Linked DNA regions of Oryctolagus cuniculus. The protein of the gene in region 2 purifies or fractionates together with the protein of the main gene of each other region. This does not show direct contact. Links are inferred from orthologs where the notes say so. Each region holds a gene or a part of one and is shown on either strand. Other genes may lie near its edges.

The links.
Region 1: the proteins of DDX6 (region 2) and LSM14B purify together in Homo sapiens (affinity purification with mass spectrometry; 4 studies listed by BioGRID and IntAct, counting the BioPlex papers as one, with this or other methods). This does not show direct contact. The link is inferred for Oryctolagus cuniculus from reciprocal best matches to the Homo sapiens genes DDX6 and LSM14B.
Region 3: the proteins of DDX6 (region 2) and PABPC4 purify together in Homo sapiens (affinity purification with mass spectrometry; 3 studies listed by BioGRID and IntAct, with this or other methods). This does not show direct contact. The link is inferred for Oryctolagus cuniculus from reciprocal best matches to the Homo sapiens genes DDX6 and PABPC4.
Region 4: the proteins of DDX6 (region 2) and EDC4 purify together in Homo sapiens (affinity purification with mass spectrometry; 4 studies listed by BioGRID and IntAct, counting the BioPlex papers as one, with this or other methods). This does not show direct contact. The link is inferred for Oryctolagus cuniculus from reciprocal best matches to the Homo sapiens genes DDX6 and EDC4.
Region 5: the proteins of DDX6 (region 2) and MCRIP1 purify together in Homo sapiens (affinity purification with mass spectrometry; 3 studies listed by BioGRID and IntAct, with this or other methods). This does not show direct contact. The link is inferred for Oryctolagus cuniculus from reciprocal best matches to the Homo sapiens genes DDX6 and MCRIP1.
Region 6: the proteins of DDX6 (region 2) and DCP1A purify together in Homo sapiens (affinity purification with mass spectrometry; 8 studies listed by BioGRID and IntAct, counting the BioPlex papers as one, with this or other methods). This does not show direct contact. The link is inferred for Oryctolagus cuniculus from reciprocal best matches to the Homo sapiens genes DDX6 and DCP1A.
Region 7: the proteins of DDX6 (region 2) and ATXN2 purify together in Homo sapiens (affinity purification with mass spectrometry; 6 studies listed by BioGRID and IntAct, counting the BioPlex papers as one, with this or other methods). This does not show direct contact. The link is inferred for Oryctolagus cuniculus from reciprocal best matches to the Homo sapiens genes DDX6 and ATXN2.

What each region holds. Positions count from the first base shown.
Region 1 is NC_091442.1:1,236,296-1,240,541, forward strand, and holds the start of LSM14B (protein LSM14 homolog B), read right to left. Parts: upstream 2,801-4,246; 5' UTR 2,601-2,800; coding exon 2,474-2,600; intron 1,365-2,473; coding exon 1,201-1,364; intron 1-1,200. UniProt on the Homo sapiens protein: mRNA-binding protein essential for female fertility, oocyte meiotic maturation and the assembly of MARDO (mitochondria-associated ribonucleoprotein domain), a membraneless compartment that stores maternal mRNAs in oocytes.
Region 2 is NC_091432.1:111,456,376-111,460,534, reverse strand, and holds the start of DDX6 (probable ATP-dependent RNA helicase DDX6), read right to left. Parts: upstream 2,801-4,159; 5' UTR 2,675-2,800; intron 2,103-2,674; exon of another isoform or gene 1,631-2,102; intron 1,612-1,630; exon of another isoform or gene 1,513-1,611; intron 1,435-1,512; exon of another isoform or gene 1,013-1,434; intron 1-1,012.
Region 3 is NC_091438.1:133,302,616-133,305,742, reverse strand, and holds the end of PABPC4 (polyadenylate-binding protein 4), read right to left. Parts: intron 2,230-3,127; coding exon 2,136-2,229; intron 2,035-2,135; coding exon 1,904-2,034; intron 1,657-1,903; coding exon 1,567-1,656; 3' UTR 1,554-1,566; intron 818-1,553; coding exon of another isoform or gene 800-817; 3' UTR 501-799; downstream 1-500.
Region 4 is NC_091449.1:51,116,081-51,120,070, reverse strand, and holds the start of EDC4 (enhancer of mRNA-decapping protein 4), read right to left. Parts: upstream 2,801-3,990; 5' UTR 2,596-2,800; coding exon 2,514-2,595; intron 1-2,513. UniProt on the Homo sapiens protein: In the process of mRNA degradation, seems to play a role in mRNA decapping. Component of a complex containing DCP2 and DCP1A which functions in decapping of ARE-containing mRNAs. Promotes complex formation between DCP1A and DCP2.
Region 5 is NC_091448.1:1,048,568-1,052,635, forward strand, and holds the start of MCRIP1 (mapk-regulated corepressor-interacting protein 1), read left to right. Parts: upstream 1-1,268; 5' UTR 1,269-1,328; coding exon 1,329-1,405; intron 1,406-3,671; coding exon 3,672-3,725; intron 3,726-3,806; coding exon 3,807-3,925; intron 3,926-4,033; coding exon 4,034-4,068. Other genes in the region: PPP1R27 (protein phosphatase 1 regulatory subunit 27), read left to right, coding at 447-636, 733-883, 1,049-1,172. UniProt on the Homo sapiens protein: The phosphorylation status of MCRIP1 functions as a molecular switch to regulate epithelial-mesenchymal transition. Unphosphorylated MCRIP1 binds to and inhibits the transcriptional corepressor CTBP(s).
Region 6 is NC_091441.1:96,494,738-96,498,837, reverse strand, and holds the start of DCP1A (mRNA-decapping enzyme 1A), read right to left. Parts: upstream 2,801-4,100; 5' UTR 2,663-2,800; coding exon 2,468-2,662; intron 1-2,467. UniProt on the Homo sapiens protein: Necessary for the degradation of mRNAs, both in normal mRNA turnover and in nonsense-mediated mRNA decay. Removes the 7-methyl guanine cap structure from mRNA molecules, yielding a 5'-phosphorylated mRNA fragment and 7m-GDP.
Region 7 is NC_091452.1:8,929,688-8,933,187, reverse strand, and holds part of ATXN2 (ataxin-2), read left to right. Parts: coding exon 1-80; intron 81-2,004; coding exon 2,005-2,214; intron 2,215-3,500. UniProt on the Homo sapiens protein: Involved in EGFR trafficking, acting as negative regulator of endocytic EGFR internalization at the plasma membrane.

The DNA.
Region 1 (4,246 bases), on a different chromosome or scaffold from region 2:
TTTGTGTCCTGCCCACCCCACTTCCCACCCAGCTCCCTGCTGTGGCCTGGGAAAGCAGTAGAAGATGCCCGAGTGCTTGGGCCCCTGCACCTGTGTGGGAAACCCAGAAGAAGCTCCTGGCTCCTGGCTTCAGATCGGCCCAGCTCCAGCTGTTTCGGTCATTTGGGGAGTGAACCAGGAGATGGAAGACTCCACCCCCCCATCTGTAACTCTGCCTCTCAAATAAATCTTAAAAAAAAAAAAAAAAAAAGATTCCAGCTGCAGCTCTCCGGCTCCTGCGAACGCGGATGGGGGTCTGTGGTGACCCTCAGGTTCCCTGGGTTCCGGCCACCGCACGGGGACCTGGGCTTTCAGACTAAGGCTTTGTGCTCTGTTCCCGGCCACGGCAGGCACGTGGCAGCTGGGCCAGCACCTGCGAGTTCTGCTTCTCTCCCTGTCCACACAAGTGCAGCAGCAGCCACGGTGCCACTGCAGTCAGGGAGCGCCTGGCCCCGCGCACGGGCACAGCCCGGCTGCGGCTGGGGAGGCACGGAGCAGCTCCGCGTCTGCCTTCTCTCCGGCGCCCAGCCTCGGGGAGACAGCTGCCTCCTGGCAGCCCAGTCCTTCCTCTGACGTTTCGTTTCCATCTACTTGACACGCAGAGAGAGAGACCAGGGAGACAGATCTCCATCTACTGGTTCACTCCCCAGACGCCCACGACAGGGCTGAGCCCTGCTCAAGTCAGGAGCCTGGGCCTCCCAGGTGTGTGGCAGTGACCCAAGCGCTGTCTCCCAGGCTCAGCAGGAAGCTGGACAGGAAGCGGAGCGGCCCAGCCCTGGCTCCAGGCTGGGGGAGTCCCGGGAGGCATCGCTTCCCGCCCCGCACACTGGGAACCCGGCACTTCCCCAGGTCTGACGCAGGCCCCCACGTCCTCCCCGAGCCTGGGGTGGTCTGACCCCCAAGGGAGCTAAGGAGGACTCGGGCCAGCCACGAGCAAACACGAGCCACAGGGCTCCCTAAAAATCCCAGGCGAGACAGCCACACCCAGCAGGGCGGCCCGCGGGCGCATCTCCCGGCTCACAGCAGGCCACGAGGGCACGGCCGCACGCCCCCCTCCAGCCTCCTTCCCCAGGAGCAGGCGGCGGGAGCCGAGCCCCTCCTGAGCGGCTCTCCGCAGCCAGCCCTCGCACACACCCAGCGGCTGGGGCGGCGCACACCGACCTGGACGATGGCGGGGTCCTGAGGCAGAGCGTGCTGGGCCTTCGGCGGCTCACACACCGTGATGTCCTTGATGTCGCTGCCCCGGAAGATGATGTACTCGTAGATCTCCTCTCTCGGGGGTGCAGGCCGGTCTGTGGGGCGATCTTCGGTACCAAACGACCGCACTTGGGTTGAGAGAAAGCAGCGTTACTTGTGTCCTCCCGCGGGCCGCCGGCCCCGAACGCGGCCCACCCTACAGCACCGCGTCCGCTGCGCAGGGGGTGGCACCCCAGGCACCAGCCCGGGAACTTCTGGGCGGGCTGCTTCCCTGGCCGCGTCCCGCGCCTCCATTCGCAGGTGCACGCACGCCCGTGCCGGGCGCTCTGGGCGAACACAGCTCTTTGCGAAGAAACCACCTGGCTGGCAGGTGAGGGGAGGACATCCGGCGGCAGGGGCCCGGAGCAGGGAGCTGCCCTGGGACACGCCCCCACGCCGCTCCACCCACAGGAGGGGTCCGGCTCGGACCCCACACCAGCTTGTCTACAAGGAGTTCCACAAACGTCCCTGCGAGAGTAACCTGCGGGCACCGGGCTTCCGGGAGCCCCCACCCCTCCCCAGGGCTTCCAGTCCGAACCCGCATCCAAGCAGCCTGCACCTGCGGCCCCCGTGTCCCAGCGAGCCAAGCGCCAGGCGCGCCAGCGGTCCCGGAGCCCCTCCCAGGAGTCGGGACGACCGCGTCCTGAGCGCAGGGTTCTGGGGACCCCGCGCGCACGCAGCCCTCTCCCCAGCCCCCCTGCAGGACGCAGACAAAGAGAGCCGGGGGACCCTCGCCGAGCACAGCTCAGACACAGAGCCCGCGGCGGGGACGGCTGTGACCGGGGCGCCCCGGCCGGCGGGAGGCTCCCTAGGAGCGCCCGGCTCCCGCGCGACGACCCGCTCCGGGTCCCAGACGCGCAGACCCGCATTTTCTCCGCGCCGCCACCCCGCCCAGCCTTCGGGCTGCCCCGCCCCCCGGCAGGTGAGGACGACGCGGGGCCGCCCGGGACCCAGCACCTGCCGAGGGGCGGCTCCGCGCGAGCGGGCGTCCGCGCACAATCACGCGCCGTCGCGGCGGAGGGAGACCATTGTGCCCGGGGCGACGCGCCGCGGGGGCGGGGAGGCCCGGCGCGGGTGGGGGGGCGCCCCGCGGACCGCGGGCGGGCGAGGTGGGGGCGGGGCGCGGGCCCCGGCCGGGTGGGCGCCCGGGGGTGGGCGTGGGGGCGGGGCGCGGGCGGTTGGGCGCGCGGGCCGCTACCTTTGGCGAGCGCCACGGTGGAGTTGTCGGTGTCGATGGTGTAGAGGATGCCCTCGTAGCGGATCTGCGCCTTGGAGATGAGGCTGATCTTGCTACCCAGGTACGGGGTGCCCGAGGAGCCGCTCATGGCGGCCGCGGGGGGCCGAGCGCCGGGCCGCCCGCTCCGCTGCCGCGCGGCCTCCGGGCCGCCCGCTCCTGCGCCGCCGGGGCGCCTCCTGGCCTCCGCCCGAGGGGCCTGCGCGGGCACCGAGCGAGCGAGGCCGGGGCGCGCAGCCGGTCTCTGAGAGGAACGCGGGGGAGGAGCGGCCGCCGCAGCCACATCCGGGGCCCCGAACCGCCACGCGCCGCCCCCGCACGCGCGCCGCCCATTGGCTTGCCGCGCCCGCCGCCCTTTAAATATGGCCGCGCCGCCGTCCGCGGGGCGGGCCCGCGAGCTGCGCCTGCGCAGCTCGGCGCTGCCGGCCGGGGGCGGAGCTGCCCGGCGCCCCGCCCCCTCGCCGCCGGCTCCCGGCGGGCCCCGCGCGCTGTGAGCCGCCGTGGGCGAGGTGGGCGGGGCGCGAGTGCGCAGGGGGCGGGGCTTCGGCCTGTCCGGCCCGCGCTGCCCTGCGGGGTGGCGGGCAGCGAGCTGGCGGCCCTGCGAGCGCGCTGCGCGGTCGCCTCTGGTCCGGCCCTCGCGCCCGGGACCTGCCGGCTGCCGACGCCCTGAAGAGAGCCCCGAGCGGCTCGGCCCGGTCGCCCCCCGCGCGACCCCCGCCTCGCGCTCCCATGCATGTGGGCGTGCGCGTGCTGAGCTTCGTCTCAAGTTAAAAAAACATTCGAAGAAAAGAAAAAGGAAAAAAGGCAAAACAAATCAAAACGAAAGAAAAAACTTATTTGTAAGGCGGAGAGAGCTCTTCCGTCGGCCGCGTCACTCCCCAAACCCCTAAACAGCTTGTCCGGGCCTCGTGCGGGGCCCACGCGCGGCCAGCGGGGGCCCGGGGGCCGGAGCCCTGGCCTCTGCCTCCCAGCAGGGAGGTGGGTCCCGAGCAAAGCCAGGTTTGAAACCGGGCGCTGGACACGGGATGCCCCAGGGCCCTTGCCCACCCTGTCCCCGCCTCGGGGCCGCCGAGTGTCCCGGGGAGGGGCAGGGCCGGCCCTGGACAAAGCGCAGGGAGACAGGGTACAGCGAGTCGGAGCTGCTCTGTGGATCGTTGGTTTCACGTGTCTGTGTTGACTGAACTTGCTCAGGGCGCGAAACATTAACCGGGCGGTCACCTCACACCTGCCGCTGTGGCCCCACCGGAACCGGAACCGGAACTGGAACCGGGGCAGCTGGCCAAAACCAGCCCCAGGAAGCAGAAGAGAAGGTAGCAGGCCTCAGCCACTGTGGGACTGTGTGCTCCTGGGGGTGTGCTGGGGAGGACAGACACGGCCCAGCCGCGAGGAGACCCCCGACGCACGCGGGGCAGCCTTCCCTCCCCGGGAGCCCACTCGGGCGGGGGTCCCAGGTGCCGGCAGGGCCAGCAGCCTCCGTGTTGGGCTGGGGGCGCTTTCTTCTCCCAGGAACCTGAGGGCCTGATCTCGGGGCCTCCCAGTGCCCACCTGGCTCCTGGGGTGCGGCCGCGGTGCAAACGCCCAGCAGGGCAGTTGTAAGCACACACGCGGCGCCCAGGTCCAGGGATGCCGGGCCTGCCGCCCACGCCTTGATGTCCGCCGTAGTGGAGGACACTGGGGACGGCTGAGGAGGGGGCCGCTGCCGTGGCTCGTTCCCCAGGCTGGGGCAGCCTCCATGCC
Region 2 (4,159 bases):
TTCTCACATACACAGAGCTGTTTATTTTTAAAGTCTTCCTGAATCAGAGCACTTAGAGGAGGTTATGAACCTTTCCCGTATTGACAGCTTTAGATTATGATCAACCGTATCACATAGTTCATATAGGGAGACTTATTTGTTTGCAAAACATTAGGAGGATGAACAAGGCAATCTCTTAAAAACGAAACCGTATCTTCATTACTGCCCATCACCGCGCATCTCCCTAAATCCAAAATAAGACTATGTGCTAACTGCTCCCCTCTTAAACTGAAACCTGCACTGCAGCTTTATGTCTCAGAGAGGAAATATTCCTCCTACCCCTTCCCAATTTAGATGTGCAGGTTATAGTTCTACGTTAAGAAAAAAAAAAAAAAAAAAAGACAAAACGTAGACTATCTGGGAGGAGCCCCTGGTGGAATTAATTACAGCACTTCCCAGATCGTAGTTAGCAATTGACAGTTTCACACCCAAAACAGTACCGTCATCTCCAACGAGAGCTTTTGTTTGCAAATGCAGCGCAGTTTCTCCAAGCTCTGGCTGCAAGTTGGAGTGACTGGGTTTTATTCCGAAGAGAGGGAGCGGGGGATCGCGGAAAAGGAGTCAAGCCAGTGTCGGGAGCCCCGCAACTGTATGGCACTCATTTCTTCCCCTGCCTCCCCCCAGTCTCACACTTCGAGTCAGCTCCTTCAGACCACAAAAACAAAACGGTTGGGTCCCCGCAATCCTATCTGCGCAACAAGGGCCAAAACTCAGCTCCGCGGCAGCAAACAATAGGGACTGCTCCAATAAAGGGCCCGAAGAGACCCCTACAACCTAGGACGCCCCTCCTTCCCTCCGCGACCCGGGGGCTCCACCAACACCCTCTGTTTATCGACCTACAAGGCCTACTGCAATCAGGCAGCAGCCGGTCCTCCTCCAGCCGGAGCCCTCCAACACGGCAGATCCGTGCCGCCCCCTGTAGGGCTGCCTCGTACCCCATAACCTCCAACATCATCTCCCCCCCAGCCCTTACCGCCCCCTCGGGTCCCCACAGCCCCTCGTCTTCCACAAAACTCCTCGGAGCACTCGGCCCGCTCCTCCTCCTGACCCCGCCGCGCACTGCATTCCCATATTCGACTCCTCTGAGGCGCCCCCACCCCACACAGCTGCCGCCCGCCCTTCCTCCCCCAGGCCCGGCCAGGCCTTGGGCCTCCGCCCGGAGCGAACCCCTCGCCGGCCCGAGGGGCTCCCTGAAGCCCCCACGGCACCGCCGACCTCGACCCCGCCGCCTCACCCCCGCGCCCCGCGGCTCTGGCCCGAGTCCTACCACCGAGGCCACTCCCGCTCGGCACCCTCGGTCCTTTATTGTTGACTCGAAGCTCCCAAAATGGCGGCGGCTCCTTCCTCCTCGGAAACCTCCGCCCGCCCCCACCCGGCCCCTCGCTGTGGCCGCCCCCGCCCCCGCCCCCGCCGCACTCCCGGGGCCGCGCCGCCGGCAGCCCGCGCCGCCGGCTGCCGGGCCGCCCAGCCTACCTCCGCCGCTGCCCGCTCTCTCGGCGCCGCCGAAGTCGCCGCCGAGCTGAGCTAACTCGGCTGTCTGCCCCCTCCCTCGCCCGCCCGCCGCCGCCTCCCTCCCTCCCTCTTTCCCTGCCTCTCCGCATGGCGGCGGCCGCGGCTCCTCCTCCACTCAAGATGGCGAGAGCTCGGCTGTCGCGGCCGCCTGGCTTCCCTTCTTCCCTTCTTGACGGCGAGGGGAAGCCCGGCCGGAGAAGCTCCCTGAGGAGGGGGGAAGGAAAAAAAAAAAAAAAGCGGGCCGTTCTCTCACACCGACGGGTGGAAAGCTGCAGGGGGAAGCCCGGCTGCTGTCTGAGGGGACAGGAAGGCCGAGGAGAGATGCTCGGGGAATGGTGGCTGAGGAGAGTCGCCGGCCTTCACGCCTCCTGCGTGAAAACCCGGGGTTGTGACCAGAGGCGGATCTGCTTGTTACTGCCCCAAGACCGGTCCCCAGCACTGCCGGGCCGGAGGCGGGAGGCTGACCTGGCACCCCCGCGGGCCGGGGGCCGCGTCCGAGCCCCTCGCGCCGCGTCTCCGCCCGGGAGCGCGCGGAACCAGAGGCCCCCACGCGCCCGCCGACGCGCGCCCGGGGGCGGGAGGGGGGCGGCCTGGGACCCGCGGTGGGGAGGGCCCCGGGGCGCGCGGAGGGCGGGCAGGGGGGGTGTAGGGACCGCGCCGGGCGGAGACCGTGCGCCTGGGAGGGGGAGCTGCGGAGAGCACGCGGGGTCTGGGAGGCGACCCCGCCGTTAGGGCGCAGGGCTGGGCGGCGCGACCCCCCTCTACTGCCGAGATCCTCCAGGGAGGGGCCGAGCCTCCCCCCAGAGGGGAACAGCACTGAGTCGTCTCGGTGGAAGCCGGGCAGTCGGTAAAGATCTGGGCGCCCGCAGGCGGAGAGTTTTTTCTCCCGCCCGCCCCTCACTTGTAAAGATTTTTAGGCATTTCTCCTCATGATTACTTCTCAGACCCTAGCGTCTCCGTTTATCCCCAACAGAATAACAGAAATGCTGTGGTGTCTCAAGTAAGAAAAAAAAAATTTGGCTAGGCCGAGGGAAAGTAAAATCCTAGGTCGCACCCGGCTGGGAAGCGGAATATACAAACGGACAATGGCCAAAGCGTATGTGACAATAGGACTCCGACCCACCTCCGCAGCAGCGAGCCCAGAACGGTCAGCACTTGCTCACTGACTGGCAGCTTCCATGTTTTTTTGCCGCTGTGCCGCTGTCCCCAACTCGGAGCCAATCAGAGAAAGCCAAATATGCCGCCGCAACCAATCACGTCCGAGGCCCTGCTTCTCGCTCGCCCTCCTCCCGCTTCCCGGTGCCAGCACGCGCCAATCGCGGCCGACCTGACGCCTTCCCCGTTTTTCACCATGAAGCTTTCCTACTCCCCCGCCTGCCTGGTCCCCACCACTCCGAGGGGTCGTGGCTGCGGATCCTACGGCACGCTCTGAACGCAAAGCCTGGTCTCGTTTGGCGGTCTGGAAAGGCTGTCGAGAGCAGTGAAAAGACTACCCTTGACGTTAAAAAAAAAGTCCCCTTATTTTTTTTTTAAATTCTAGGTTTAGAGCATGCCATCTCCCACCCAGATTTTAAAACACCTAGTCGTGAAGAGAGAAACCCTGCACCCTATTCCATCCTGTAGAGAAGACGGCTGGGTGATACCGTGTGAGATCCTCTTTGCCTCACTCTCTTCCCACGTATCAGGTGTGTGAAGGGTTGGGAAAGGGGCTTCAGGATTTACACCAGGTCCCTTCCCCCACACTGCTCAAGGAAAGGGTCCACAAATAAACTGTAGCCTGGATGAGGTCACGACAAAAATGGGCAATATGAAATGACCACCCATCTCACCTAGGAGTCCTTCTGAGGCGAAAACCTTTCGAAATTCTGTATAATGATCTTTTAAGATGGGTAAATACTCTCACATTGTTGGCCCTTTTCAGTTTTCTGATGGGATACGTAGATGGTTTAAAATTAAGCTAGGAACCCTGGATCTTTTATTCTAGATTCAGCTTTAGTGGTTGATAGGTCAAACCATTTCAAACCATTTTGTCCTTGCTGTTTTCAAACAGATTAGCAAGAATTGTGAAATATGACACTTTAGGAAAAAAGATTATTTGGGGCTGCACAGACTATCATTTATAAAATGTATTTTTAGGGGGTTGGAGAGAGGATAGCTAATGGGTCCAGGGGTGCAGTTGGGCAGGATAACTCTGATTGGCAAGAATTAATTGAATATTTCAAAATAGCCACCTAGCTGCTTTCTCTCTAGGGTGAACACGAGGAACAGAGTTCCCCCCTTCTGTGTGACGAGGTATTTTAAAATCTGGGAGATGGTATGCTAGAAACAGAATTTGAAGAGGATTTTGAATGTTCCTAGCACAAGAAAAGTATGTGAGTCTGAGGTGATAGGTATGCCTGATCATTACATGTTGTACATATGTACATATGTATTGAAAATGTCACACTGGACTCTTAAATTATGATAATTTGTTGGTTTGAAAAATTATTTTTTAAGAAGAATGTAATATAAATCAAATCCTTTGGTCTTTTAGTTAACATGGAGTGGAATAATTGTGAGTACTCTGTAGCAAATACGGTTTCTGGAGGATGTGCCAGCTCCAGTGAGG
Region 3 (3,127 bases), on a different chromosome or scaffold from region 2:
GGGCTCAAGGAACGAGAAGGAAGCATGGCTGGAGGGCAGGACCTTGTCACACTGAGGACTGATACAGTGCCTGTGTGCTGCAGTCACAGATCCCCGAACACTTCCCCGCACAGGAAAGCTTGCTTACAGAATCTCGGCAACTGCTAGACAGACCCTAACCAGCACAGTACAAGGGAAGGGGGACAGCTCATCAGCCCAGTTCTGCAGACCTTACTGCCTGTCCTTGGGCCATGTGCCAGCTGCCTCTACTCCACACTTCCCTGAGCCAGATTGTGATTCTTCAGACCTCTGTCCTCTGCACATTCCACGGGGCCAATACTCACTGATGGAACCTACCACAATACTGTGCAAAGGGACAGGGCCATAGTCAACAGGGCTGCACACCTGGTCATCCACTTGTAAACAGGAGACAGGAGCTCGCTCCAATCTAGTCACATCCAGAAATTACTTCTAGTGAAGACTGGAATTTATAGAATAAAACTGTGGTAAGATGGAGGCAGTTTTATGGAGATTTTTCTTTATTGAGAAACATAAGACTTGGGTACATCAAATAAAACCAATTTCCAGGGAAGGGGGAAAAAAGAAAATCAAAACCCACAATAGAAAAAAAAGTTCACACTGTCTGGGCCAAAGCAGAACCCAGAGAATATAGTCATATAATTGAAAAATTCTAGGTGCTTCATTAATTGACCTTTTGATACAAAATGACCTATTAAATTTGCAATTTGTGGTTCTTGGTGTTGAGGTCCATAGGACAAGCTACGAAGTCTTCAAACCTTGAGCTGAACTCCACGAGGGGTTATTTGGCTTTTGAATCCTGAAAAGAAAAGCACCAACACAAATACATAAAATAATTTCAGAGATTTCATTAAAATCTCGCTAGTAAGAAAATACTAGATCAGAGTTTCCCACCCTCAGCACTACAGACATTTGGGGCCACCTGACTCTGGGCCATGTCCTGTGCACTGCTTCCCTCTACTCATTAGGTGAGGGCTCCTCGGGCCGTTGGTGCACACCTATGCCCAATCAATCCTACTAACACTCCAGCTCTGGCCATTCCACGCACTCTTCCTTACCTTGCCTCTGCTCATCTCACCAAGCCTGCTACAGACAAAGTCCACAACCTTATGGTGAGTGGTCAAGTGGAACAGTCACATGTAACTATAGTCAGGCATGTGTATCTCTCCCTCTAGGTCCTGATCCTCGATGACAAAGCCTCTCTCTGGAAGCCAACCTCTGAACAAACCAGGAAGATGATACTCACAGAATGAGACTTTATGTCCTGATTAAGAGAACTCCTTGTAGACCCATCATTATTTCGGATCAACAAGGTGATTTGGGAGGAAGATTGGACCAGGAACTCTTTTTTAAATTCACAGCCCTGTACTCCTTCCTCCATATTAACTCATCTAGATAACAGAAAAGGCTCAGCAATGACCTGCACAAGTTATCAGGCTGGGTGACAGAAATGGCGTTCTATATACTGCCCCTCTTCTTTTAGTAAGACGTTCAAAACCAAAAACCACTGCGGAAAAATGAAATAGCCAACATACGGTTTTTCCATGTCTAAGAGGTAGCAGCAGCAACAGCGCCCACCTTCTGGGCAGCTTCTTTCTTGGCATGATGAGCTTGTAAAACTGCCACAGCTTCATCCACCTGTGAGAAACCTCCAGGTGGTCAGTGAGGCTGAGGAGAGCCATGTCACCCCTCCCCAGTGTCTGAGCCCAGGGGTGGAACACAGCCCAGTGTGGAAATAGCCCTTGGATTTCTGGTGCTGGATGCTTTCCCCATCACAGGCAAGGCAGGAGGACAACCCCACCCCCCACCCCCGGCTGCACCTGAGCGTCCAAGGGCACTGTGATCTAGCTGGGAGCTGAAGCTGTGGGGTCTGAGGACCACTCACCTTGGAGCGGAGAGACTCGGGGGACTCCAGCATGTGCAGCAGCTCCGAGTTGTCGATCTCCAGCAGCATTCCCGTGATCTTGCCCGCCAGGTTTGAGTGCATCGTTTGGATGAGCGGGAACAATCGTTCTCCTGTGGGTGGGACAGCTCATGAAGAACCAAATCGCTTCCCAGTAGAGAGGACACTGCTGTCTGGGTCAGCCACCCTCTTCTGCAGGCACATGGGCACTCACCCAGCATCTGTTTCTGTTCCTGGGGGGGTGCTGCAGCCAGCATGGAGGCAGTCAGGGGCTCTTGCCCCTGCACGTGGACAGCAGGCTGGGGTGCCTGGGAACCAGGAGAGGCAGTGGTTAGCATCAAGGACAGGACATTTGCTGGTGGCCACATCTGAACTGTCGACATGTGAATATCTTAAGCATGTCAAAGAGGAGACAGAAGCATCTGTCCTCTCAAACTGGTTTCAGTCCTCGTGGGATTAAATGATACGGTGAGGGAAAGTACACAAACCAAAACTAACGAAAATAGCATGCTATCAGTAGGAAAAGTGCAATAAATATACCAAACCTACAAAGCCAGGTCAGTATTTTCTGACATTTTCATTTAATTTGCCCTAAGTTACTTAAATTCCAAGTCTTGTTATATTAAAGGCTACAGCAAACATTTTATGTGTGTGAACTACCTGAGAATCAGCTTTTCTTTAGGGTGACCTCCAATACAGATGGAGTCAAAGGGTGCAAATATCACCCTTCCACATCACCTTCACTGCTAAGGACAGCCAACACGAATGCCAACGTCAGCCACAGCCCTAAAAGAGGACTTTGTAGGCAGAACATCTCTCCACACAGCATCAAGTTCTGGAAACTCCCCACCCTGGAGAGCAAGGGCACAGAGGTGGCTCAGGAGCCTTCTCCCAGCTCACAGACCTGAAGGCTGAGCAGAGTGGCACTACCACAGCACTGCTACTGAGCTCTACGACAAACTCACTGCTTCTTGGTTCGCCTTTAAGAGCACAGCTCTGGTGACAGCACACAAAGTTCTAAACTCTGGTTCCACCTCTTCCTGCCTTCATGTCCCCCAGTCATCTTGCCTAACAGCCAAAGATCAAACACGTCACCAGATGTTAAAGTGACCTGGATGGTCAGAGTTAAGTGAGATTGTGGATTCCACAAAAACAGGAAGCACCGGCTGTCCCTTCAGGGGCATTCCGTAGTTAACTCGCATTAGA
Region 4 (3,990 bases), on a different chromosome or scaffold from region 2:
ATTTTTGTTTCTCTATCTTTTAAGATTTTATTTATTTGAAAGTCAGCGTTACAGAGAGAGAGGGAGAGCTAGAGAGAGATCTTCCATCTGCTGCTTGACTCTCCAAATGGCTACAATGGCCAGGGCTGAGCCAGGCCAAAGCCAGGTGCCAGGAGCTTCTTCCAGGTCTCCAATGTAGGTGCAGGGGCCCACTACTTGGGCCACCTTCTGCTGCTTTCCCAGGTGTGTTAACATGGACCTGGATCAAAAGTAGAGCAGCAAGGACTCAAACCAGCGCCCACATGAGCTGCTGGCATTGCAGGCAATGGCTGTACCTGCTATGCCACAACGCCAGATCCAAAGCAAGGCATTTTCATGGGAAAGAGAGCCCTTTGTTCATCTCTTGTCCAATAAACTAATGTATACCAGGACAAGGCTGAGCGTGAGGCTCTTCTACCTGCAGGAAGTGAACAAATCTTCAAGGACCCTCTGAGGCCAATTAGCACATCGAACTCTGTGTACTTGAGGAAGGGAATGGCAAGAGTTAGGAAAGACTTCACAGAGAAGGCACCACCATAGCCACTGTGGCCAGAACACAAACATGAGGAGGACAGAGGAGAAACAAGGCTGCAGAGGCCTCAAGTATGATGTTGGGGTACCCAGACTCTCCCTGTGAGCTATGAGAGCCACAAAAGAGTTTTAAAGGGGAAAGTGGCAGGGTCAGCTGTTGCCAGTGGGCTGACTGCTCTAAGGAAGCATACAAAACAGTTGAGAATTTACTGACAACAGGGCCTAGACCAAGATAGTGGCAGGGTTTGGAGAGGAGATGAGTACCCAAGGCAGAGAAGGACACTGATCGGATGTGGGGATATGAAAGGAAGAGGCCCTGCCCACACAGAAAAAGCTCAGAAGAGGCTACCTCAGGCAGGAAAGGCAGAAGGAACAGACTCGAAGGAGCTAGATACAGAGAAGAGAAACAGTGAGGTGGGTGTGGAGTCAGGGGAGACAGCAGTTCAGTTGTTGGCATCAGCTGGGTCTCAAACACTCTCATAGGCTCAGACATTATTGCTTAAATTTCCAAGTGGCAAGGAAACTATGGCTCCACATTTAGGAATGTGGCAAGTTTCCAGTCACAAAACAGGTTGAGGTCCTACAACAAGAGGAGACAATCAAGAGCTTCCAACAGTGAAACGAAGTGCAAATCAATGCGAGCCACCTTAGCTGCTCAGGCATAAGCCGGCCACTCTCCCTTCCATGCAGCCTACCATGAGGATAAGCAAACAGCAGGCCCAGGCTGCACACAGTTGGCCATGCCAGGCTCTACTGAACCTCTGCGGAGTCTAGTCTGCTCAGCAGCCCATTAGCACGAACGCCCCAAGCCAAGCTCCCAAGAAGGGGTGCACACACTCCAGGCTTGGGGCAAAGAGCCCAGTGGTCTAAGAGAGCAGGTAGATTTTCACAGGCAGTCTGGGTAAGCTAAATCCACTCAGAGTGAGCATCGGTGCCTGAAGCGGTCGGGCGGAACCTTCCAGCAGGTGGAAGAACTAGGTCTGAGGAAACATCAGTTCTCAGCTGAGGCCACTGCACACCCACCCCACCATCACCAGTCAATCCTTGAACCATCACAGCTTTTTACAGATCCCTGAGCCTGTCAGAGAACTTGAGTGCCTTCACATGGGCTATTTCCTTTTTGCAATAAATAGGAGGTTTCTATGTAGTTGTCTTGGGTGCGTTTCCTGACACTCAAGACCCAGCTTACACAATCTCCTCTGTCAGTGCTGTGCTCTGCAATCTCCAGCTCCCATTCAAACCTATTCCCACCAAAGCATCAAAACACTTCTCTTTCCACGACAACATTAGATCACAATCCTTAGCTCTCTGTGTCCTGAAGGCTCTTTGAGGTCAAAAGCAGTTCTGAGATTCACTAAGAGCCCGAGTAAAATCTGAATGAATGGGAACACATTAGAGCTTGTGGATGCTATAGCCTAACCCGATCAGCGCAGCTGCCTCCAACTCAGACAGATGGGACCTGGGGCTGGCCACCTTTCTTCTGGAACTCAGTTTCCCAACAGGCCTGGGTTCTGCATTCCAGAGGGAAAGGCAAGGTGCAGAGGGGGACCAGCATCCCTCCAGCACAACGCTTAAATCCAGGTCCAGAACTCGGTATACAGAGCGGGAGCCCTGCAGGTGCTGAACCCGTGTCAAAGAGGAAGAGCACTGAGACAGCTCCAGGAACAGATCTTGAGGCCAGGAAACCAGAGGCGTCCAGTGGATTCAGAGAGGGGGACTTCACCTTCAGCCGAAACGCTGAAGGTGAAGAATGGCCTGGCGCGGGGATGGGGAGAGTCACACTCAGGGGTCTGCGCCTACCGCGGGGTAAGCTCAGGGATCCAAGGCTCCGACTCCCATACGCCCTCACCGGTCGGGAGAATACAGACGTAGTCCTTAGGGACTTGCGGGCCCTAAGAGCGGTTCAGACCCACGCATCCCTTTTGCTTGTTCGCTGAGGGCCCACACCCGCTATCCCCGCTCACCCGCCGCGGGCCGGTCCAGCTTGAGGATGTCCCGCAGGTGCTGCGTGGCGTCCTCGATGTCGATGCTCGCGCAGGAGGCCATGGGCCCAGCCGCGGGCGCCCCACCCGCACGACGTTCGTTCCACCGCGGCCGCGCACAGCCCAGTCTCGCCCAGCCTCGCAGGGGCCAGACACCCGGACGCAGGTCACTACTCCGTCCACCCGCAGCTAGCAAACTGCCGCCCGCGCTGCGTCCTCAGCTCCACCAACCCCACCAACCGCCTCCACTTCCGGCCCCCGCGAAGCTCCGCTCCCGGAACCTGAAAGAACTAGAGAACAAAGGTTCCGGGCTGGTGACGAATACCTCGGCTTTCCGGAGCTTGCCTGGGCTCACAGCAGTCTCTGTGCCGGTAGGGTCAGGGAAGTTCCACAGGGTGAATGTCCACGTACTGGGACACCCTAAACCTACTCGTTTCAGGAATCTCGCCTGGTCTATGCTCACTCCGAAAATGTAACTGATGACGATCCTACAACAGAGATCCTACATGTTGGCCGCCCAGGCTGTGGTCCCTCAGTCTCTCAGGAATTCGCTGAACTGGCAGGAGCCTTAGTTGCCTTTGGGAAATGGGTGGGGATAGTCTAGTCTGAGGGGACCTGCAAAGCCATAAAGCTCAGGAACTACAAAGACATGGGTGACAACCCCACTAACAATGATCACAATCATTCCTGTGTCCCCAAGCCGGCCCTGGTCCCAGCTGGCACTCAAGGAGGAAGAAAGAAACCACAGTTTACAAACACCTCTTTATTGCAGACAATTCAGGCACAGGTACATGGAAGAAGCTGTATTGCAGATTTTATACAGGGTGGTTTAAGAGGTAGCAAGCTTCTACCTCTCCCCCACCCCCACATACACGGCAGCTTAGAGATCCAGTCCCACTGAAATCTCCCAGATACGCTGTCTCCGCAGACAGCACATTATCCAGCCCTGTGCCCAGTGCAGCCAGGCAAACTGTGGCATCTGAGGGAGTCCTTAGCTTCCACCCACAGTGGAGATGAAGGGTATCCATTCGCAGGTCAAGCTTGGCTATGGTGCCCTCACTGAGCCTAAGACCCTTTCAGGGCATTAGCCCAAATCCTAGGTTGGGTTCCGGCCTGCAGTTGCTATTTTGCCCTTAGGTTTATACCATTCAGAGGTCTCAAGGCTACATTTGCACTGGGCAAGGCCTCTGTCCCCAAAACTGAGAAGCAGAAATTGCCCTAATAGTTAAGACTTCTGGAATTTGAAGACGATGTGGAGTGTGTGTGTGTGTGTGTGTGTGTGTGTAAGATCAGGAGGGACTAGGAGGAGGCCTGGAAACTCCCTGCAGAGGTCTGAGGGGTGAGAGCATGAGACCCTCACACTCAGATTGTCTTCCATAGCTCCGTATCTCTACTCCAACCCAATGGGGCCTGCCTCTGAGTACAACGGAGGCTGGCTGTTCTGGACACAGGTAGCACA
Region 5 (4,068 bases), on a different chromosome or scaffold from region 2:
CCCGGGGAGGCCGGGGCAGAGGGGCGCCCCCCACACGCGGGTGCCCCTCCCCGTGAGCGCAAGTCGGTTCCATGGGCAGCTGGCCTCGGGCAGGTGAGCCACCTCCCACACCGGCCCTCGCCGCACCACGGCCTTGACCTCGGCCGTCCTCGGCCTCCTCCTGCCCTCTGTCCAGCACCTTCTACGTCCAGCTGTGGGGCAGGGAGCGGTGGCCAGGAAGGATCTGACCCCTTTGGCAGGACACACGACAGGTGGGCCGAAAGACGAGCCGCTAACATGATCCCGAGCCAGGGACGGGGGCAGCTCGGTTTCAGGCCCTCGCGACCGGCAGCGTGACCGCGCGGCTTTATATAGCGCCCGCCGCCCTATATAAGCCGGAAGCGGGGTGCCCGAGGAAAGAGGCGGCTCGCTGCTCCGGCGCGCACCCACTGCCCCCCGCCCCCGGCATGCCCAGCAGGACGGCGCGCTACGCCCGCTACAGCCCCCGGCAGAGGCGCCGCCGGCTGCTGGCCGACCGCAGCGTGCGCTTCCCCAACGATGTCCTCTTCTTGGACCACATCCGCCAGGGCGACCTGGAGCAGGTGGGGCGCTTCCTCCGCGCCCGCAAGGTCTCGCTGGACACCATCCACCCGTCCGGTGAGCGCGCACCTGCCGGCCGCGGAGGGAGGGGAGCCCGCGGCCTCGGCCCTGGCCCTGGCCCTGGCCCTGACCGCCGGCCCTCGCCCTGCCCAGGCCTGGCCGCGCTGCACGAGGCCGTGCTCTGCGGGAACCTGGAGTGCGTGAAGCTGCTGGTCAAGTACGGCGCGGACATCCACCAGCGCGACGAGGCGGGCTGGACGCCGCTGCACATGGCCTGCAGCGACGGGTACCCCGAGATCGCCAGGTGAGGGGCGGCCGCGGGGAGCGCAGGGGCCCCGCGGCCTTCGGGGTGTCCGCGGCTCCCGACGGGTCGGGTTTCGGCGGAGCAGCGCCAGAGGGCGACGCCGGGGGCGAGCGGGCAGTGTCCGCGTGCGCGTGTCCGCGTGCACACGGCGCCCTCTGCCCCCAGGTACCTCATCTCCCTGGGGGCCGACCGCGACGCCGCCAACGACGACGGCGACCTGCCCTCCGACCTCATCGACCCGGACTTCAAGGACCTGGTGGAGCTCTTCCGAGAGACCAAGATGGACTGAGCCCGCCCCCGCCTCCAGGTGGATTTTTTATGGTGACACTTTGTACTTTTTCAATAAACGCGACTCCCGAGCCCGCAGCCTGGCCTCGTGACTGGGGGCCGGCCCGCGGGGGGTCGCCGTCCCCGCCGCGCGCGGTCACGTGGCCCCGCGCCGCGCATGCGCCGCCGGCCGTGGCGTCACTTCCGGCGGGGCCCCCCAGCTGGAAGAGGCGGCGGCGGCCGAGTCCGGGCGAGGTGAGGCGGGCGCGGCGCCGGGCGGCGGGGCGGGGCGGGCGAGTGGGCCCCGCGTCCGGCCCCGCCCCGCGCCCGGCCCCGCCCTGGGGTCGCCGCCGGGGCCGGGCGCGGCCGCCGCGAGGGGGAGTGACCGGGAGGCCGGGCCGGGTCGCGCCGTGCGGGCCGCGAGGGGCCCCCGGCGTGCAGGCGCGGACGTGGCGCCCGGCCCGGGGGCGGCCGGAGGGGTGCGGGCTGACCTGGCCGTGCCCTCGCGACCCCCTCCGCGCCGAGGCCCCGCCTGCCCCCACGCGACCGCGGCGTGGATGGCGGCGCTGCGGGGCCCCGGCCCGGCCCGGAAGCCGCCCGGCGTGGCTGCCCGTCAGAGGCGGCCCCGTCTGCCTTGCTCCCGGACCCCCGGCCATGAGTCGGGGGGTTTGGGCAGCGCAGGCGGGGACCGGGCCGGACCTGGAGTAGCCGCCCGCGTGCGGCCCCTGCTGTTTGGCCTCCAGGACAGCAGCGTCCTGGGGCACCCGGGTCAGCAGCTCGCGTCCAGGGTCTTGCTGGCCGAGGAGGGGCCAGAGCACGCAGGGGAAGTGGAGTCTAAGCAGGAGCCGCACAGGCGCCGGAGGGCCGGGCGCGGCCGGGGCTGTGTGCAGGGGCAGGGCCTCCGCAGGCGCCTTCTGCCCGGTCCTGGCCCGGCCCGGCCGCGGCAGTGCCCGACTGCTGGGAGGGGCAGGGGCGCGGGGTCCGCCCCCGGGTGCCAGCTGCCTCGCCCGCAGCGGGGGAGGGGTCTTCCTGGGCCCCGCGGGCGGAGCCTTCCTCGCTCCCCCCCCCCCCGTCTGGCTGTGCGGGGAGGAGCCCCCAGACTCCGGTGAGGTCGGGCCTCCTGTGTCCCCAGGGGCTTCTTCTCCTTGGATGGGGGTGCCGCACCCTAGGGATTCACAGGAGGAGGCGGGGCAGGGGCGCTGACCGCCGGCCACCGGGAGCTGTGGCCTGTGCGCCGGTGGTGGACAACAGCAGCCGTGGACCCCAGGGCTCTGTGCTGGGACCGAGGTGGGGGCGAGGCCGCAGGCCCAGAGGCGAGACGTCCCTGGGCCCAGGCCCCGATTCCGGCTCCCACTCGCATGCACCCTTGGAGGCCGCACTGCTGGCTCCGGGGACGCCTGGCCTCGGCCTGGCCGCCATGGGTGCGCAGGGAGTGACCAGCAGGTGGGCGCTCTCGCTGTCTGCCTCTCAGAAACCAAAACCTACGGGTGGGCCGGGGGCTTGGTGGCCGGAGGGCAGGAAGGGCGGGCGGCCAGGGTCCCCGGGAGGGTGTGAAGCAGGGGAGGGGCCGCTGCCCGAGGCGCCTCATCTCGCGCTGCACCCGGTCCAAGGGAGAGAACGCGCCCGGTTCAGAACCTCAGGCGCCGAGCTCCCCGCATCTGGCCGGTGTGGGCGGTGGCCCGGGGCGGTCACTGGCCGGACACGCTCTGTGCCCCCACTCACCGCCACCCAGGCTGCAGAGCGGCGGGCCAGCGTCCTGCCCACCCAGGGTTCCCTTCTCCCCAGCCACGCCTCAGGCCCCACACCCTCCGTGCCGGCCTCTGTAGGGACCCTGGCCTGGGGGACACTGAGGGCAGGACGTGGCTGGGAGCCAGGCAGCCAGAGGAGCTGGGGCTGGGTGGAGGGAGAGGCAGGCAGGCAGGGCGGGCGGGAGGCCCAGGAGGTGGGCGCCGGCCAGGCCCGCCCCGAGCACTGCCCTCCTGGTCACCTCCATCCGCTGTGCACCCCCGGGCAGCGGGCGGGAAGCAGAGTTCACCTGGTGAGCCAGCCGGGTGCTGCCACGGGCGCCGCCCCTTCCTGCCTGTGTGTGTGTGTGACAGCTGAGTGGGCCGTGGTGGGAGCCCCCTCCTTCAGCTGCAATGGGGCACCAGGTGGCCAGCGTGAGCCCAAAGCTGCTGACCTCACGAGGCGGCAAAGATGCCGGGGCCCAGAGCCCCCCCCCCAGGAGACCCCCAGGAGCCCCCAGCACCCTGGTCTGAGTCCACTTTCAGGACACTCCGGGCTCGGGCCCCGCCGCAGGGGCCCTCACCCTCAGGAGGCCGCAGGCGCGGTGTGCCTGGGCTGAGCCAGGTCCACCGGGACCTCGGAGGGGGCCCTGAACCTCAGGGGCAGCTGGCAGGGTGCCCTGGGGCCACACGGCCTGGTCGCAGCTCCGCGGGAGGAGGCAGGTGTGCCCGTGCCCTCCCCACTGCTGCCCAGGGCCGTGCCCGCCCCATTCCCGGCTCTGGGGCTCCTGTTTCAGAGGCCGAGGGATCTGGCAGCGGAAGGCCAGGACCAGACGCCCCGCGATGAGCAGGTGGGTCGTGGGCAGCCGGGGCAGGGTGGCCCCCGCCCTGCCCGGCGCCCGGCCCGGCCCTCACGCGCCGGGGCCCCCCAGTTCCCCTGTCTCCAGAGTCGTGTACAACGGCAGGAGGAACAGCAGCCCCCGCTCGCCCTCCAACAGCAGCGAGATCTTCACCCCCGCCCACGAGGAGAATGTGCGCTTCATCTACGAGGGTGGGTGCGCTGCCCCCACCCGCCTGGGAGCCCCGTGCTGGGCGGGGGCGGGGAGGCGGCGGGATCCGGGCGGCCACGGCCGCCCTGACGGTGCTCGCTCGGCTGCAGCCTGGCAGGGCGTGGAGAGAGACCTGCGGAGCCGG
Region 6 (4,100 bases), on a different chromosome or scaffold from region 2:
TAATCCAACTCCAAACACTCCCTAAGGAGAACTACTTCATGTTTATGAGTAACTTGTTTTATTTACTGTAAAATTAACCACCTTTGAACAGGGAAAGTTAAGTCTCCCTCTAATGGCACAAATTTCGGTTACCAATTTCCTATGCATCCTTTCAATGCTGCTGATGCAGACATAGGCACATACAGACTTTAACCCAGCAACCTGTCTTTATCTGTAGCATTTTTCTTTTATAATCAGTGAAAGAGAAAATCACAGAACTAGCTTTCACTTTTTAAAGAAAATGTTTTGGCCAGATTTCTTAATTTTAATGACAAAGTCCTGTGGGCAACAATTTCTTAACTTTTTAAAGTTTATCAAACTTAACATAAAAAAAATGGAAATTTTCTTAGAGGATCCCTTGTTTTATCACTGGAACATTTTGGTATATTTTCATGAGTAGCACACCTTGTGGTTAAGAATTACTATCAACACAATTAGGTAATTATTTTTTAGAACTTTGCTAAAGAATCATGAATACTGAAATTATACTCTGCCTTAAATAATTATTTTATCTTACAAGTAATGCAAAAAATATTTTAAAGTGACCTTGATCAAGAGTACAACTCAGTATTACCTTTCATTTGTTCTGCCAGAGTGTATTTAAATTTCAAACAAAGAAACAATGTTGCAATGTCTGCAGTTCACCACTTGCTGGACCTAACTATTTTAATGCAATGAAGAACATGTTAAAACTTTACATGTTAGACATATCAAACCAAATTATTTGGGATAATTTATACATGTAAAAAATCTCAATATCTTCCAGTATTACCTTAGCTTAAATATAATCATCAATCTTCCTTCCTAAGAATTCAGAAGCTTTTTCTTGCCTTCAAAATGTTATTAGTATTAAATAACTGGTGATCAAATGTCTCAAAGAAAATTTGTCCCCCAAAAAACACAGAACAGAAAAAGATGTGGTTATGCTCTATGAGCCGTGCTTCAATACATAAAAACAGCAGTTTATTTTTCAATTGTACTAGGGTATGGCAAAAAAGCTTGTGGAAAATGAAATTAAAATTATTTCGGCACAAAAAATTCTGAATTCCAAGCATTTTTTTCCAGAATATGTATTTTCCATGAACTTTTTTTGTAAACTGTTTACATCTCATATATAAACAAGAATTTTAGTTTAAAATTCTAAAATATTCAAAATGTATCAACAACTAGAAATAAGAACTTTTTAGGCACAAATTACAGTCCCATTCTTCCCCATTTGTTGGCAATCTATATTTCACAAACCAAGAGAAACGACTGAAAACATTTCAAACTAAGGCAATGTCTAAAATAGCTACACTTAAAAACACTCTATATTTTCATTCTCTGTGACTTCTCATGCTTCCTGTCTTCCAGGTGGTAAGAAAAAGATCATGAAAATTCTCTCCATGTGAATTAACTGTTGGTAAATGCCAGATGATTTTCATATAATTACTGACAAATATAACCTATGCATCTGTATAGTAAGGGACACAGTATGACAATCCTCCACAGTTTTGTTGAAAACTTTCACGCTCACTGAATGTCTGTGCCAGTCACTGACGAATTCAACGCAGCAAGCGTTTACTTAGTAAATTCTAGGTGTACAGCTTATGGCTGAATGAGTGAACCAGGGAGGGTCCGCAACCAGGAAACTGTTATTTTAACAACTAAAAGTACTTCAGGCAGGGACTAGCAAGAGCTGGTGAACAGAGAGAAAGTAACTTTTCAGACTCCCTCTGGTGCCCGAAAGCCAAAGTATTCAGTCCGCTGGGAGTGTTCAGAGGTGACATCACCGGTCTTTTTCCTGGAAAAGGTCTCCAGGGAATCCAATTAACACAGCAGCCCCCCTCCTAAGTGCCTTACGATCTTTTCCAAAACTCCGGAAATACAGGTACGAGTTCGATTAAACCTGGACTCATCCCACGCCCTCCCTCCCAAGAATTCAGACTAATTGGATTTCAAGTTTTAAATCCAAATGACCTCTGCTAAGGGGGCTCTCGTTTCTGTCCGCTGGGTGGCGGGGGTGGGGGGGAGGGGTGCTAATCTTGCAGATCATATATACATATGTAATTTATCCAATAATCCTCTAATCAGGAAACAAGCTTTCAGGGCCCATCTGACCCCACTGGTCTCACATCCTCCAGTGCACAGAAGAAGGAGGCAGGTCGCCCACGTCCTCAGACCCGAGCCCAAGGGACTGATCCTGGTCCAATCGTCCCCTCTGTCAGCTTTTCCCTGGGATGTCTCAGGCCCACTTCTCCTGTTCCTCTGCCCGAATCCCGGACACCCCCGACATCCCTCAGCTTCCCACCCGCCTCTTCGCCACTCCGCGACCTCACCTCCGCCGCCCTGGCCTCCAGCTTCGCCCCCCACACCAGGCAGCCCGCGCGGCCCCTTTAAGAGGTGGCGGCGGCCAGGACGGAGTCCTCAGCGGTCGCGCATCACTCACCCACTGGTTAGCCTTGGGACAGAAGGTGTACAGAGCGACCTGGCCCGTGAGGTCTGCGATGCTGGTGATGTAGGGGTCGTGCTGCTTCAGGGCCGCCAGACTCATCTCCTGCCCAGCTCGACTCAGCGACTCCATCTTGAATCCTGGAGCCGAGCCCCTCCGGTGGGGGCGGAGTCGCGGACAGGAAAGTGCCATCGAGGAAAAGTTCCCCCAGCTGCGTCAGCCCTCTCAACTTCCGCCTCTCTGAGGAGTCTGACAGCGGGGTGGTACAGCAGCCATTTAGCTCCGCCGCGCGCATGCCCCGGACGTCGAGTTCCGGCGTCGGCAGGTCCCATCCGCCCGAGCCGTCGGGGGCGGCGTGCGCGGCTGCGCGATGGGGCTGGCTGGAAGCGTTTCCTGCCCTCAGGCTGCGCTGTCCAGGTGAGGGAGGTGACGGCTGCCAGGAGAGGCTGGCGAGCGACGCTCCCTGGGATTACAGAAAGGAAACCCTGCTGTGGAAAAGGCTCTGCGGGCCGTTTAGAAGGCACGGAGAAGCGTGGGGCAGGGGGGCCTTAAATGACCCTCACTGATGTCGTCACTGATGGTTTCCGAAAGGAGAATTCGAGAACCTTCTTGGAGCTCCACAGGAGTGGCGTTTCCTTCGCCTGGATCCCGCGTGCATATTTTCAGTCAGCCCTGGGAGGAGCCCGTGGGGATTCGAACTCGTTTGGAACCTTATAAAATTTTAAATAGGTCACTCCTTTTGGCGAACATGTACTGAGCGTTTTAAGGAATCAGGTAGTAGCTAAAGAGTAAAACAAGTGAAAACTGTAGGGAGCTTTAGCTCCCCCCACACTTCAAAAAGCAAGTTTTTTTTTTTTTTAATTGATGGGACACCCCAACAGAATTGAAATGTTTTGAAGGGAAAACATGTTCTCCTCATAAAAATAGCACTCATGTCTGCAGCATGTACCAATGCTGGCAAAAACAAAACAAAGCAAAACAAAACAAAACAAAACACCACTCATTTAACTTTTGTTGTACAGGTGTTTATGGAACTCCTAATTGTGAAAAAGGGGCCGTTTGGAGCTTCCAAGTCTTGTTTAAGACATCTCCCTGGCTCCCTGAGAAAGGGAAAGAAGTAGGACAATCTAAGGAAACAGGGATGATGTTAAGAGACGTTGCTCTTTGATACCCAGAGGATGGAGCTACTAACTCTGGCCAGGGAGAATCTAGAAAGGCTTCATGGAGGAGGTGACATTGGGCTCAGTGCTCCAGGGATGAGCAGGAGTTCATCAGGGAAGAAAGGTAAGGGCTTTGGTTCATTTTACAGTGAGGTAGGAAGATGATTTAATTGAAGCCAGGGAGGAGAAGGCACTGGTTCGGAATTCCACACCAGTCAGCGGGGATCTGGTATTAGAACCCAGGGACTCCTGCCCTGTATCTTGAGATTTTTTCCCCCTCCACACCACAATTGCCTTTCTCTTCCCAGTGGCTGGAAGTAGCAGCTTTATTCCCCTCCACCTGCCTTCAATCCATTAACAACAAAAACCTCTGTACTATAGATATGTATTTTAAAATAGGTAATATACTCACTAGGTACAAACTGCAAGAGGCACAACTGAAACTGAATTTAGGTTTTTTTCCCTTGTAT
Region 7 (3,500 bases), on a different chromosome or scaffold from region 2:
CTCCATGCCATCAAGACCCACTTCTCACACTTCAGATTTCAACTCGAATTCTGGTTCAGACCAAAGAGTAGTTAATGGAGGCAAGTATTTTGACCATATTTGTCAATGTCATTGGTCACATACATACATAGTTTTCTAATTACTTAAAACAGTTTATATCACTGATAAGACAGTGTACACTCTTAATGATTTTTATGGGGTAGTTTTTATTTCAAAATTACTTGAAATATGCTTTTGTGGATATCAGACTAGTAAAACATAGTATGAATCATTTGTAGATTCAGTATTTAGTGTGAGGAAGTCTCATGTACTGAAAGAGTGCTAATTTTACACTTGATCTTAGCCAAAAGGCCGAGAAGCGATGAAAGAGTGCTAATTTTAGCCCAAATATCATTGCTTGGCCAAAAAAGACTCCACATATAAATTGGATACATTGCGTAGGTTCTTGATTTTTAAGACACTGATGAACAATAAAATTACATAGGTGCATTTTATATGGAAAATTATAATCTACGTGAAACATTCAATGGTTAATATGGATTCATTTTCCTTATTTATGTTGTGCTTACTGTAAGAGAGGATTTGAGGTACTTTGTAATACGAGGCATGACCCAGAATCAGGTGAAGAAGGTGATGAGAGAAAATGTGCTTAACACAACAGAAACAACTCTCAGTGTGAGGGTGGTTGTTGTAGGTCAGCGACAATAAGTCAGAGAAGTGGGAGACATTTTCTACTCTGCCTCTAAGTCTGGGTTACAGATTATATATATATTATAATTATTGTAACCTATATCATTGCACTGTGGATCTTTGATGCACAGAGGGATGCTGAACCGCAGCACTGAGGATAGTGTGGTGATCAGTGAGAGCTCGAGTGTCTTAACCTAGGAAGGCTGGGCACTTGCTGCAGCATCTCAGTTTAGAACTGTAGAGAGAAACAGAGCACTAGGTCTCCAGTTTCACTTGTTTTCTTTGTATCTTTTCTCCAGAACTCCTCTCCAAATGAACACTCTTGAGTATTTTTTGTACTTAGTTTTGGGGCTGAAATTTATTTGCTTACTGATAAAGATTTTTTAGGTGTTTATAAACAGAATTTTCAGAGTAAAAAACCTGAGGGGGCTGGGAAATTTATGATACTCAAGTGTGTGGAACTCTGTGGAGAGGAGGCCTGGACCCTCGGCTGTGGTGAAGGTAAGTGACGTGACTGTTGGCATGGTAACTGTGTGTGGGCCTGTGCAAGTCCCCCAGTGCCAGTTCACTCAGCAGCGACTGCTTTGTATTTTGGTTGTGTGTTAAGCAGTCTCTCAGAGAAATGTTCACTGCATAAGTGATGACTTTGAAGGTCTCCCCTTTTCTAGTCTGAGATTAAAGTAATTTTTTCAAAGAGCAGTGAATATAGGTCTTTGTTAATCCTGTGACTCTAGAAAATAGTAGAAGTAATGCTTTTATCTCTACTTAAATGGAAGCTGCTTAGAGAGATTTCAGACAACCTTAGATTCAAGGGTAAACCCAGTGAGAGTCGTATGTAATTGTAAGGAGCTGTGTTTTCAATTTGATACAGTAGATGCTGCTTATTTTCACTGCTTCAGAGCTAAAACTAATCTAGTAAATACTCTTATTTCTGAGTAGGAATTACTGTGTTTCGTTGTGTGAAATTATCTAGTGTATGTTATATCCTTTTCATAGTTAATTACTGAGACTCAGTTACAGAAGCAGGATAATAGGCACAGTCTTACCTGTCTTCAATAGTATGTGTAGATCCTGATTAACCCTTTGGGAACGTGTATTCATTTAAACAGATTTAATTCTAAGGAGGTTAAAGTAAAATGTGAATTGATGTCGGTTAAGTTATGCTAAAACTTAGCACAATTCAAATGACTGTCCTCAAAGGGTTAAAATGTACAAGAAATCATTTTTGTCATTTTACTTTTTTTTCTGTTTACTTTTTTCCCTCATTTTTTTCTTTAGTTTTTATACTTTCCTTCATATCATTTGTTCTGTCAGGTGTTCCCTGGCCATCGCCTTGCCCATCTCCTTCCTCTCGCCCACCTTCTCGCTACCAGTCAGGTCCCAACTCTCTTCCACCTCGGGCAGCCACCCCTACACGGCCGCCCTCCAGGCCCCCCTCGCGGCCATCCAGACCCCCGTCTCACCCCTCTGCTCATGGTTCTCCAGCTCCTGTCTCTACTATGCCTAAACGCATGTCTTCAGAAGGTACAATACCACAATTTGTTCATGTTTTTGTTTGTCTTTGTTTAACTCCTATGTGAGTTTATAATTACAGAAGTTTCCTCTTTCATTATTTAATAACCTATAATTTCCGTGTTTTAACTTTAGTTTATTAAAACTATTTCTATTAACCTTTTGTTCATTAGAGAGAAATTTGATAAATGCTGTGTGAAGCTATGAATTATGCTGAATTGTGAGAAAGGGGCTTTCTCTTTCTACCTGCGAAAGATGTTCCCTCACAGCCCCAGAGAGCGCTGCCCAGGGCCTTCTGCCTCCTGGCTTTCCTTGGGTGTAGTGGGTAACGGTAAAGAATGAACTTTGTTCACATAGGCCTGGCTGATTGTACAGCCTCTCATGTAACAGCCTTTTGGCCAGAATACTGGGGGATATTCCTGTGGGTCTGAAGCAGGAGTCAGTTTTGGGGGTGACATTCCATGTACCTGCCTCTTTGTATGTCTACCCTTAGATTATAATACAGTTTGTTTTTTAGGATGCTTGAAAGGTATTCTAAATTTAATTGAGTAATTTTTCAAAAGAAAAAGCTTTGTAATAATATTATGAGTGAAAGGCTGCTTTAATCTGGTAGAAGTTCTTGATCTAACATAAAATTATTGATTAAAAATATGAATTTGAATACTGAAGTATGTTTTTGACCCTTGTCAAAATCTGCCTTTGCTACGTGTTATAGAAAGATAACATTTTAATGTAAAAGCAGTGCATAAATTAAGAATCTGTGTGTTTTGAATGATAATGTTCTTTCGATATGAGTTGACAGTATTTGTGTTAAAAATCTGACTTTAACTTATTCCTTAAAATCATAATTAATACAGCTTATGTTGGGACTAATAAAGTTTCCTATATAACCTGCTTCCCTGGAAATATATATGTTGGCTGCTTTTGAATAAATGACTGCCATCCAGGCAGGCAGGGAAGTCATGTGACCTTGACTGAAGTTTCTAACTGTGAACAGCAAGATTTGCTGAGTTTTCGTGGTGAATTCCATACTCAAAAGGTCATGGAATAATGGTCACTAAATGCAAAGTCAGATTCTCTTGAGGTTCATACTGCAGCTTGTCATTTGAACAAGTGAGACTTGTATTGTGAGAACAGGTTGGATAAAACGTGCTTGTTAATGAGTGTGGACAATTTGTTTACACTGAGATATGAGGACTGTGTTGAACTGAGTATTCATACAGAAGTAATACTTTCTGCATTATTCATAAATGCTGAATGTCTATTGTTGAAAATTATCATTTGTAACATTAACACCC